3 linked regions of the Sus scrofa genome follow. Each later gene encodes a partner of the first gene's protein in a complex. Links are inferred from orthologs where the notes say so. Each region holds a gene or a part of one and is shown in the gene's direction. Other genes may lie near its edges. The genes, in order: RGS7, GPR158 and GNB5.

Evidence for each region.
Region 2: the proteins of RGS7 (region 1) and GPR158 are in contact, whole or in part, in a cryo-EM structure (PDB 7SHF), measured with the Homo sapiens proteins. The link is inferred for Sus scrofa from reciprocal best matches to the Homo sapiens genes RGS7 and GPR158. Residues at the interface, in NP_001351815.1 of Homo sapiens: Gln35, Ile43, Ser55, Arg109, Phe110, Thr112, Pro113, Tyr114, Phe115, Lys134, Thr136, Lys140, Ala141, Arg142, Leu143, Leu145, Ala146, Asp147, Ala150, Leu153, Gln157, Trp164, Phe168, Met169, Gln170, Glu172, Ala173, Gln174, Lys176, Val177; in NP_065803.2 of Homo sapiens: Leu507, Lys508, Phe510, Leu511, Arg513, Thr514, Tyr595, Tyr598, Ala599, Thr602, Val603, Pro604, Ile714, Arg715, Leu718, Lys719, Tyr722, Leu725, Glu726, Tyr728, Lys729, Arg730, Met733, Ile734, Thr735, Asn736, Asn737.
Region 3: the proteins of RGS7 (region 1) and GNB5 are in contact, whole or in part, in a cryo-EM structure (PDB 7EWP), measured with the Homo sapiens proteins. The link is inferred for Sus scrofa from reciprocal best matches to the Homo sapiens genes RGS7 and GNB5. Residues at the interface, in NP_001351815.1 of Homo sapiens: Pro19, Leu22, Val23, Lys26, Val30, Ile72, Val76, Glu77, His80, Leu81, Leu84, His88, Val207, Asp213, Ile214, Lys215, Lys216, Leu258, Gln261, Ile262, Trp265, Gln266, Gln268, Leu269, Arg271, His272, Arg273, Leu274, Lys275, Met276; in NP_057278.2 of Homo sapiens: Leu57, Glu60, Ala61, Glu62, Leu64, Lys65, Leu68, Glu71, Lys74, Leu75, His76, Asp77, Val78, Glu79, Leu80, Val83, Leu90, Phe93, Arg98, Arg99, Leu109, Lys117, Arg118, Ser134, Phe135, Trp149, Met151, Leu167, Tyr197, Ser206.

What each region holds. Positions count from the first base shown.
Region 1 is NC_010452.4:11,979,146-11,982,791, reverse strand, and holds part of RGS7 (regulator of G-protein signaling 7), read left to right. Parts: intron 1-572; coding exon 573-671; intron 672-2,184; coding exon 2,185-2,246; intron 2,247-3,227; coding exon 3,228-3,338; intron 3,339-3,646. UniProt on the Homo sapiens protein: GTPase activator component of the RGS7-GNB5 complex that regulates G protein-coupled receptor signaling cascades.
Region 2 is NC_010452.4:50,199,858-50,203,933, reverse strand, and holds the start of GPR158 (probable G-protein coupled receptor 158), read left to right. Parts: upstream 1-1,185; 5' UTR 1,186-2,049; coding exon 2,050-2,951; intron 2,952-4,076. UniProt on the Homo sapiens protein: Metabotropic receptor for glycine that controls synapse formation and function in the brain. Acts as an atypical G-protein coupled receptor that recruits and regulates the RGS7-GNB5 complex instead of activating G proteins.
Region 3 is NC_010443.5:119,555,382-119,559,027, forward strand, and holds part of GNB5 (guanine nucleotide-binding protein subunit beta-5), read left to right. Parts: intron 1-3,063; coding exon 3,064-3,200; intron 3,201-3,646. UniProt on the Homo sapiens protein: Enhances GTPase-activating protein (GAP) activity of regulator of G protein signaling (RGS) proteins, such as RGS7 and RGS9, hence involved in the termination of the signaling initiated by the G protein coupled receptors (GPCRs) by accelerating the GTP hydrolysis on the G-alpha subunits, thereby promoting their inactivation.

The sequences.
Region 1 (3,646 bases):
TTGCTGTGGCTGTGGCGTAGGCCAGCGGCTACAGCTCTGATGAGACCCCTAGCCTGGGAACCTCCATATGCCACAGGAGCAGCCCAAGAAATGGCAAAAAAGACAAAAAAAAAAAGAAGAGGTGGCATCCAAGTGAAAACGAGTCGGAACCAAAGCACATTTGAACTTGGAGCTACTGTAAGGTTGGCCATGGACCCGATGATTCTATATCCACCTCTGTCTTACTTTGAAATCCATACTTCTTAGATGTTATATTGTGTTGTCCTTCCCCAATTTAGTGCTATCAGCCCACCTTTGTATTTTATCACACTTACCCAGTTCTTTCCATGTCATCAATTATTCTGTCAGTTAATAATCTAACCACATATTTTTTCCAAAACCTGTGCTTCTATTTGACATGCATATGGCATTTATGATAGCAGTGCCTTTTGAGTTTTGATAAGAAGCTTCGTCCAATATGCAGCAAAGCATGGAGCTACTTTCCTGAATATATAACATGAAGTTATCTTTTAGAAAATCTATGACTCTAATGCTATTTTATCCTAACATATTTCTTTTTTATTTTAATATAGTCTGTCTATGGTTTACAAAATGATATTAGAAGTCACAGTCCTACCCACACACCCACACCGGAAAGTAAACCTGCAACAGAAGATGAGTTACAACAACAGGTGGGTCAACTGTATGATGGTTAATAGAGTAGCAGGTATGAGAACCAGATGGGCAATGTTAATAGCATGTATTTTTTAAGTGATTAGTGTGAATGACCATTTCACATAGAAGATTTGCAGTTAAAAGGTAATTTTAAGGTATGTTGTCACTTGAAAATGTATCAATATACGGAAATTGTTTTCAAAACTCTTCACTCTTCCCCAAATTCTTTTTCCTTTAACCTTTTTGTTAGTTTGTTTTTTGTTTGTCTGTTTGTTTTAGGACTACACCTGCAGCGCATGGAATTTCTCAGCCTAGGGGTTGAATTGGAGCTGCAGCTCCTGGCCTACACCTCAGCCAAGGCAATGCCGGATCTAAGCTATATCTGTGACCTACACCAGAGCTCATGGCAACACCAGAGCCTTAACCCACTGAGTGAGACCAGGGATCGAACCTGCATCCTCATGGCTACTAGTGGGGTTGGTTACCACTGAGCCATGATGGGAACTCCCCTCTAATCTTTTTTTTTCTAAATCACACACACACACACACACACACACACACGGATTTATAGGTGTCTCCATTACTAAGAGTTTATTTTGTTCTGATGAACTCTGTCTTAACGAATGAGAAGACAAGAGGTTGGGGACATGAGGTCATGTATTTTCCGCCCCTAATCATGAGGCATGACCTTCACAAAAGAGTGCTTACTGTTTTTTCTGCAGTGCCGGTCTCTATATGCCTCTTGAATAGTGCTAAGCCTTATTAGCACTGATGACCGGTCTCATTATGTATTGCTTCTTGTTTCATCCATTGATCAATAGCTTCAACTCCAAGTAATATTTCAAAGCAAACACCGAGTGTCTCATATCAAGGAATAGTTAAATCTCTTTGTTAGTTAAAACATGGGACTTTTTCCCCTTTCCTTCTTTCCCCTTAATATTTTATTGTAGGAGGGTTTATCAGTTGTGTAATATATACTTTTTCTAGTATATTTATAATCACAGTGAGGAAAAAATAATGCAGAGAGTTTTAAATTTTCCATGTGCAATATGTCCATGTGAGAATTTGTCCTGAAAAGTTCATAAAATCATCCTTAAAACAACTATCATTGATCCTTTATAGGGTTAGTGTTAGGAAGCAGGTTTATTTTGACATTATAGTAACAAATAGCAGATACAGTTATTTCCTGAATTGAATGTTTGAGGAAGAAATGTGCTTCTGATTTGGTTACTCACTATGAATAAATGCTTAAAATTTCTATAGCACTTAAAGTTACCTTTCGTTAAAGCTGTCAGAATGTTCAAATCATTGCTCTTCCAAAGCAATATTGATTATATTTACATTCAAACAGATTTTTATTTTTATTAACTCTTTCCAAGCCCTCATGTTTGACTTTTTTCTACAGACTTTGAACATTTACCGACTGCAAACATAGTCTTGCTTAGAATTGCCTAGTCTATTAGAATTTGGAGTTGAAAATTGTGAGAATGTCACTACTTATGTAACTACTTCTCCAAATCTTTTTTTCAGATAAAATATTGGCAAATACAGTTAGATAGACATAGGTTAAAAATGTCGAAAGTTGCTGACAGGTAAGTACTTTACGGTACCATATAAATTTTTTAAAAATTCATGTGGCAGTTACATGTGTTTAGAATGGTGGGAGGCGAGCTGGTATAAAGAATTGGAAACCCGTTAAAAATATTATTTTCTTTTTCCTTTTTGAACATAGAAAAATGTCAAAGAGCTCTTTTGTTTGCAGTTTAAATGACACAATGATCATTATTATCTTAAGTCTCTAGAGGTCCAGTGTTTGTGCAACCAGCGTCAAATACAGAAGAGAATTCGAAGGAATTGAGTCTTTTCATTCCTTCTGGGAGAAATGAAGCTTTCAATTTATTAAGTTAGCTTTTTGCAACTTAGAGGCTCTCTATAAATTCATCTGAACGTTCACACTGGCCAGTTATTTGATGACGTTAGAATCTGAATTAAACTCAGACTTTGCGTATTTTCCTTTTCTTCATTGAATTGTGTTCTCAAGGCATTCGTATTCTTTACCTGGGAGCCTTGTTCAGTCCTACATCTCCAGCCTTTTTCCTCTCTTTCCCTTGACTTTTTTAAAATGTAGATTTTTTTTCAAAATGTTTTTGTCAGTGATTCCCCATTTACCTAATTTCTGTAAGTATTTTTGACAAAATTTCCTTTTAACCTCTTCTCCAGGTTAAACTAAAATCAGTTCTGCTGTGGGTGGGCTGATGGATCAAGGACTGGACTTAACCTTGGCGCTTCCTCTTATGCGCTGACTTCCGTGTGGCTTCGTAGTCATGGAGGGATATTGACTCTATGGCTTAGCCGGGGGAGCAGTGGAGTCCTTAGCCATTCTGGTCCTCTAAGAAGTGCAGTAAGCTGATGCACAAAAGCTACTGAAAAGTGAAAACTGCCATTGCATTAAATCCTATAAGCAAGCAGGGATTCCTTCGCCAAGCATTTTTATACAGTGTCCCTTAAAGACTAGACAGAACATCAGGCAGAAAACTAAGAAAAGTGAAATGTTTTTCTTCTTCTCTCTCAAGTCTGCTAAGTTACACGGAACAGTATGTAGAATATGACCCATTTCTTGTGCCCCCTGACCCTTCTAACCCGTGGCTGTCCGATGATACTACCTTCTGGGAACTTGAAGCAAGGTAAGTGAAATAAATGTTCTCTCCTTTCAAATATTGTATTCATTTCAGGTTGGGGCAAAATAGGAAGAATCCTACAGTGACAAATTGTAAAGGTAATTTTACTCTGTGTCTATGTTAACCACGAGATAAAGTTCCTGTTCAAGGCTACGGTTTTTGACACTTAAATATTTGCATTCATATTAAGATTTGCCTCTCCAGAAAGACTGGCACAAAATTAGAGGCGCAAATGTTTCTTTTTGGTTGTTGTTCTATTGAAGTGTATAGTTGATTTACAATGTTGTGTTAATTTCTGCTGTACAGCAAATTGA
Region 2 (4,076 bases), about 38 Mb from region 1:
AGATTACACTTCAGTCTTTAAGCAATTACATAGAAAATTCTAAAGAATTGCTAATAAGTTATATAGGTTTTCTAAAAATATCACTTAATGAGGAAATTATACTTCAGTCTTTAGATAACAGAAAATCATACTATAGGAGTTACTGTCGTGGCTCAGTGCTTAACGAACCCAACTGGTATCCAAGAGAACTTGGGCTCGATCCCTGGTCTTGCTCAGTGGGTTAAGGATCCGTCATTGCCATAAGCTGTGGTGTAGGTTGCAGGCAAGGCTCGGATCAGGTGTTACTGTGGTGTAGGCTGGCAGCTATGACTCCAATTCGACCCCTAGCCTGGGAACCTCCATATGCCATGGGTGTTGGGAATTGAAGTGAATTTGAGGTTGTCTGTGTCTTTCTTCAGGAGTATGAAAATGGAGGTGCATATGGATAGTGGAGGTGTATAAAACACTACCTATCCAGTACTAATTAGTATTTTCAGAATGAAAATGTCAGAAGACCCTCTTAAAGCTTCAAATAAAGCAATCAGACTGTGTTGAGGATTTTTCCAATCATTTGGTGGTGGTGGCCTGGCATATTTATTCAGCTCTTCTTTCTTCTGCTTGGACATCCTAATCTATAGTTAACCAGATGTCTTAGCTCTCGTATCCATTAATTTTAGGAACTCTCAGTCAGAACGACTTCCTTTCTCTCTCAACACATTCTCACTCATTCTCATTCTCTCAGAGATCAAGTCCCACTCCTGTGCATGTTCTCTCCCTTCCAGGTATTCACTTGCATACACTGTCACAGGTTCCCCTTCATCCTTTTCAAAGGTTCCTGAAATATTTCTTAAAGTTCAGCCAGTAGATGTCTCCATTACTCCCTTCTAGCTAAGACCTCGGCAAGTAGGGTTTAATCATTTCTTTAACCACAACAAGGAGGAGGATTTGTTAATTTGCCTAAAAAGAGCAGATGCTCGGGAGGACACGTTTCCATCCTACGTCCCTCCCCTCAGATTTAAGTAACAAATGAAAACTACTTTCTCCCTCTTTTCCAGGCAAAGAAAAGGCTGCTTTAACGAAGCATGCGAGACGCCAACACCCTCCTCCTCAGTACATCCAAGTTTCCTTCGCTCTGAGCCACCAAAGCTCTGCTTCTCCTTTCACTCCCGCCCACCCCACCCCCACCCACTAAGGTTCCCGAGTCATGAGGAACGCGAGTGGGTGAAAGGACTCAGCGCTGCTGCATCCCGCGCCATCCCGCGCCACCGCCTCCTCTGTGCCGCTCGGGTTCAGCACTGGACAGCTCCCGCCCCAGCCCAACAAATGGCAGCCGGCTGATTGACAGAGGAGCTGGCCAAACGGAGAACAAGACGATTTGAAGCCGCCCTACGAGGGTTTGGTTGCGGCCAAGCTGCTTCTTTAAACCGGCTTTCCTCCCGAGAGCAGTGTGGTTTGTGGCCAAACCTAAAGACTCCAATTAACCAGCTGCCTGGCCCTCTTGGCTCCACAGAGACAAAGATCTTAAGAGAAACCCTCGTTCTCTGGGACTTGCTCTTGCGCTCGCGGTGCGGGTCCGTGTTCGCGCGTTCCGAGCCTCGGGACGAAGCGAACTAGGAGGAGCCAGAGCCGGGAGGCGGGAACGACCTGCCACTGGTGAGATGATGGAGCAGCGTCTTCGGCGGCCGCCGCCGCAGCAGCAGCTCTTGAACACACCTCAATGAGAGCGGCGGTGGAAGCTGCTGAGCTGAAAGACGTAAGCAGGCTAACTATAGCTGCCGGCAGCGAGAGGGGATGTAACCTGTTCGGCTCAAGGCTGCGAGGTGCGTAATCTCGAGCCGACCCCTTGTGGAGCAGGAGCAGCCAGCGTTGCCACAGGTGATTTGATTTCCTGTGACGGTAGCTTAGTCAGCCGGGCATATTTCGGAACATTTATATTTTAAAGTCCCCTTGGACTCGGTGCCAGCTGGAGACGGGAGAAGACCCCTAGTAAAAGTCTTACTGTTGACAGACTGACGACCAAAATTTAAAAAGTGACTCCTCCCGTTACCTCCTCTCCTCTCTGCGGGGCAGATGGGAGCCATGGCTTATCCTTTGCTCTTCTGCCTCCTGCTTGTTCATCTGGGATTGGGAGCTGTTGGCGCCAGCCGCGACCTTCCAGGTCGGCCGGATTCCCCTCGAGAGAGGACCCTGAGGGCAAAGCAGCACGCCCAGCAGCCGGCTCGAGCCTCTGCCTCGGACCCCTCGGCTCCCTGGAGCCGCTCCACCGACGGCACCATCTTGGCGCAGAAACTCGCCGAGGAGGTGCCCATGGACGTGGCCTCTTACCTCTACACCGGGGACTCCCACCAGCTGAAGCGAGCCAACTGCTCCAGCCGCTACGAGTTGGCGGGCCTGCCTGGAAAGTCGCCTGCCCTAGCTAGCTCCCATCCCTCCTTGCACGGGGCGCTGGACACGCTGACACACGCCACCAACTTCCTCAACATGATGCTGCAAAGCAATAAATCGCGGGAGCAGAACTTGCAGGACGACCTGGAGTGGTACCAGGCACTGGTGCGGAGCCTCCTGGAGGGTGAGCCCAGCATCTCCCGGGCGGCCATCACCTTCAGCACCGAGTCGCTGTCCGCGCCGGCCCCGCAGGTCTTTCTCCAGGCCACTCGCGAGGAGAGTCGCATCCTGCTCCAAGACCTATCCTCTTCCGCACACCACCTGGCCAACGCCACGCTAGAGACCGAGTGGTTCCACGGCCTTCGGCGCAAGTGGAGGACTCACTTACACCGCCGCGGTTCCAACCAGGGGCCCCGGGGCCTGGGCCACAGCTGGAGGCGCAGAGACGGGCTTAGCGGGGACAAGAGCCATGTCAAGTGGTCTCCGCCTTATCTGGAGTGCGAGAACGGGAGTTATAAGCCCGGGTGGCTGGTCACTCTCTCTGCTGCTTTCTACGGGTTGCAGCCTAACCTGGTCCCGGAATTCAGGTAGGGAGGAAAAAAGATAAAAGCAAAGTCTTCCTTCCGGTTTCGCGGGTAGGTGGGTGTGTGGGTAAGGAGCACTTGGCTGTGACACTTATGCCCCCAGCCTCAAAGCAGAGACCCAGGCTGAGGGGACACCCCAAGAAGGCACAAGTGCTTAGGGAAAAGCAGCTCCCTGACAGGTTCAGACAATCAGCAAAAGCTTTTCTTTCACATCAGTTCCCCTGCAAGGCATAGGGCATCTCTTGGCAGAGCTGAGAGATGCCCTACGTTTCTATCTAACCCTAGGGAGGGGAGGGAGGTGGAGTTCCCCATCGGGATGATGCACTGAAACCCTGGGAGTGCAGGGTATGTCAGCCAGGCGCAGAGCAGCAAACATCGCTGGAGAGTAGAAAAGGGAGCCGGAAGAAGAGTTCATTGTTCCTGCTACTTCAGGATTGGCTCTGCCTGCTTCTTCCTACGTGTGCAGTTTGGGGCGCCAGTCTGTTGTTACTCAGTTACCAGAGCATGTAATGAAAACAGTTCGATCCCCTCAGTGGTTCTGTCCCCTAGTCTTCGCCTGCATAGCTGTCACCACCATTGAGACTTTGCATCTGGTTGGTGTGCTCCTTCTACTCATCTCCTTCTGTCCCCCAATCTACCTCCCATTCCTGGGTGCCCTCTTTTTCCTGTTTTCTGTGTTAGCACACTTAAGCGTTCTCCAGCCCTTCAAATACACTTTATAAAGGAATTGGGTTGAGTTATCTGAGAGAGGGAGGGATCTCACTGAATTCACTCAGGAAATTTGGAGGAGACTTAAAAACAATTCTGTATTTCCTGCCTCAAGGTATAGCATCTGTGGGAAGATGAGAATTTCCAAATTAGCAGGTCGTTAGCTTGTGCCCTGGGACATATCTGATCTTTGGGGTGAGAAACTTCTGGAAGTAGCCTTTAAGAGTGAATGTGAGGAATACAAGGAAGGAGCAAAAACGCCAAAGAGGGACTGGGAGAGGGCCACAGATTGACTGGGATCCTCCCCAGTTCCCAATGGGAAGAAAGTCTTGGGTTGAGCTTGCTTCTGTTCTCTTTCAGAAACTGGGCAAAAGTAAGACACCTGTGTGTGTGTGTGTTAACGCCCTTTTGGTGCAATAA
Region 3 (3,646 bases), on another chromosome or scaffold:
GCAATGGTATAATAATTGCACATTCATGTAGCACATAGAGTTTAGCAAGTACTTTTTTACAGCTTGGGTTTCCACAAATACTTTTATCCTGTTTACTCATTTGTTCTTTTATCACAAAGAAATGGGGCAAGTAGGGAGTTCCTGTTGTGGTGCAATGGAAATGACCAGTAGCCACGAGGACGCAAGTTTGGTCCCTGGCCTCACTCAGTGGATTAGGGATCCGGCATTGATGTAGCTGTGGTGTAGGTCACAGATGCAGCTCAGATCCTGTGTTGCCGTGGCTATGGTGTAGGCCAGCAGCCATAGCTCTGATTCAACCCCTCGCCTGGGAACTTCCATGCTGTGGGTGTGGTCCTAAAAAGCAACCCCCCCCCACACACACACACACAAAGAAACTGAGACTTCTTGGAGAAGTGGCTGCTTCCAGGGCTAGGGCAGGGAGGGAACATAAGCTCTCAGTAAGAAGTGCTCAAAGGATGATGGGCACGTGTCGGGAGGTCTCAAGAGCCTGCCTGATGGGGCTCCCAACTGAGCAAATCAGCGATGAGTTGGGCATCAAAATAAATAATGGTAAATATTATTTACTTATATTTATAAGTTAATCATAAATTACTATAAGTTATTAGTTATTAATAACTTATAAGTTATTTAAAGTTATTATAGTTATTATAACTTATAAGTTATTTATAACTTCTTGAATAAAGAGAGAATCTGTGATTCCCTACTTATGTAAATGAATGAGTAAATATGTTAGGGAAGAGGGGATATTTCTCTTTATATGAGAAAGCCAACTAAAAACTGCAGAAGGAGTGATGGAGTTAGAACAGTCACCACTTAGGAGGGGTTGACAGAACAGTATAAGCCAAATGTAATAGAAAAAATAAAAACCTAAAAAAAAAATAGTCACGACTTGCCAACTATCATCATTATCGTTTCAGGCAAGAATCAGGAATGGATATTAAAAGTAGGCTATTCAAGATTGAGGAGTAACAAGATACATATGTACTCTCAAAGTACAGCCCCACAAAATACTTTTTCATGACACAAAGCAGAATGGTAACTGTGCAGTGGAGTGCGCTGGCAGGCACCACCTGAACCGAATGATCAGAGTCAACATTGCTAGTGATGGGACTAGCAGACAGCAGGAGCCTCCTGAAAGGACAGGTGTGTGGGGCAGGACCTCAGTACTAGTCTGGTGTTTCTGCCAAACGAGTGTTACCCAAAGATAATCTGAAGGAAGCAGCAGACAAGCCAGGATTGGGGAACAAAATAACTGGAGATGAAAGAAAATGACCACTGAACACAATGTGTCATCTTGGATTTTGTTTTGCTCTAAAGGTATTGTTGGGATGATGGAGGGTGTCTCAACAAGGTCTAGAGACCAGACACAGCATTGTTTCAGTGTCTGCTCTCTGACTTTGATCATTATACTGTGGTTATGGAAGACAGTTCCTTGTTTTTAGAAAACACACACTGAAATGTTTAGAGAGAAGGAAAGGAGGAGGGAAGGGAAGAAGGAAGGAAGGATTTCTGAGAAGGGGCATTATTGTCACAAGGCTTAAAGCACAGAGTCAGCCCCTCAGCCCAGGCTTGAAATGAGAGAGGGAAAGGCAGGGCCGGTGCCTTGCCTCTCTCCACCTTGATGCTCAGCCTGTACCAGGACACCACACCTTTCCTGGGGCTGTCCCCTTGTCTAGAATGTCCCCTTCCGTTTGCCTTAACTCCCAAACAAAGGCCCAGATGAGAGGTTGGTGGAAGAAAGAGCAGAGGTGGGGTTAGGAGCTGGGGCACAGCCTCTAACCTGAGAGAAGGTGGCGCTGCACAGGGGGATCCGCTACCTCAGTTTCCTCACCTGCTCAATGACAAGATGGATTAGTTTCTAGGGGCCTTTCTGCTGCTTGGGGTGAACTTGTTCCCTTCTGAGACTCATTGGTGGAACCTCTCTAAAAGCCCCTTGTAAGTTCTCTCAGCCCCAGGAAAGAGGTTGTGGTCCCAGCCCCCAAGAGAGTGACTTGGGAGAACCTTCCTGCTATAGATACCTTCTGCAGACCACGTGTTCAGACAGGAATGTGGCATTGATCTCTACTGACACTAAGTTTTCAGTAAATCCACAGGATGCTGTTGGGTGGGTCACGCATCTGTTTTTTTCCTGCAGCATGTAGCTGGGGCACCTGCCATGGCCCAAGCCTGTGCCAGGCACAGTGTGTGGGGGGCACAGTGAGCGCACTCAGGACCTGCTGTTGAGCATATGGTTGCTCATCCTGGCATCTGATGGGGCAGTTTCTGTAAAGTCACTTTTTCTTGTAACTGAAAAGAAGTAGGTAAAAAACCCAGAAGCCCCACTTTGCTCCCAGTTAGTTGTATAGACTTGTGTGAGCCCCAGGCTTGTTGCCCATTCAGTGGGAATGACCATCTCATCTACCACCCCGCTCATAGAGCCCTGGGCCTTTGGTGGGAGAATTCTGCATAGAGCTTTACAGATATCAGGCCGTCCTGCCCTTAGTCCCTCAGCATGCATGTATGGAAGTGCTCTGCAAAACATAGTGCCTTTTTCAGAGGGGTTCCCGTTGTGGCACAGTGGTTAACGAATACGACTAGGAACCATGAGGTTGCGGGTTCAATCCTTGGCCTTGCTCAGTGGGTTAAAGGATCCGGCATTGCCATGATCTGCGGTGTAGGTTGCAGACGCAGCTCAGATCCCGCGTTGCTGTGGCTGTGGTGTAGGCCGGCGGCTACAGCTCTGATTCAACCCCTAGCCTGGGAACCTCCATATGCTGCGGGAACAGCCCTAGAAAAGGCAAAAAGACAAACAACAACAACAACAACAAAAAAAAAAAAACCATAGTGCCTTTTTTTTATTGAAGTATAGTTGATATGCAATATCATATAAGTTTTACATTAGGGTCTTAAACACTGAGAGAGTGACAGTATGAACTTGGAAGAGAGAGTGCTGCAAGGACATAGGGTGGCACACAGGAGAATGAAGCAGCGATGTCTCACCTGGGCCAGCTTGTGGCTCAAGACCTGGTCCTTGGCATGGGATTGATGTGCTTGTCCTTCCAGTGCACCAGGTGGCAGAGCGTGTGGAGGCCCTGGGGCAGTTTGTCATGAAGACCAGGAGGACCCTCAAAGGCCACGGGAACAAGGTTCTGTGCATGGACTGGTGCAAGGATAAGAGGAGGATCGTGAGCTCCTCGCAGGTATGGCACACCTGTTGGGTGATGGGGGACACCTTTCTGGTCATAAAGCTGAGGGGAAGGAGCCATCATAAAAAAAAAAAAATTTGGACTTCCTGTTGTAGCTCAGAGGTAACAAACCCAACTAGTATCCACGAAGGCGTGGGAGCGATCCCTGGCCTTGCTCAGTGGGTTAAGGATCTGGCATTGCTGTGAGTTTTGGTTAGGTCTCAGATGCGGCTTGGATCCTGCTTTTCTGTTGCTTTGGCTGTGGTGTAGGCCAGTGGCTACAGCTCTGATTCGACCCCTAGCCTGGGAACTTCCATTTGTCATGGATGCAGCCCTAAAAGACAAAAACAAAAAACAAAAAAACAAAACCCAAAAAACAAAACAAAAAACCCTTCTCTGAACGTTATGACTCTGCCTAGTCTCCAAAGGACACGAGTTAGCCTCATCAAGAATTCTCTGGA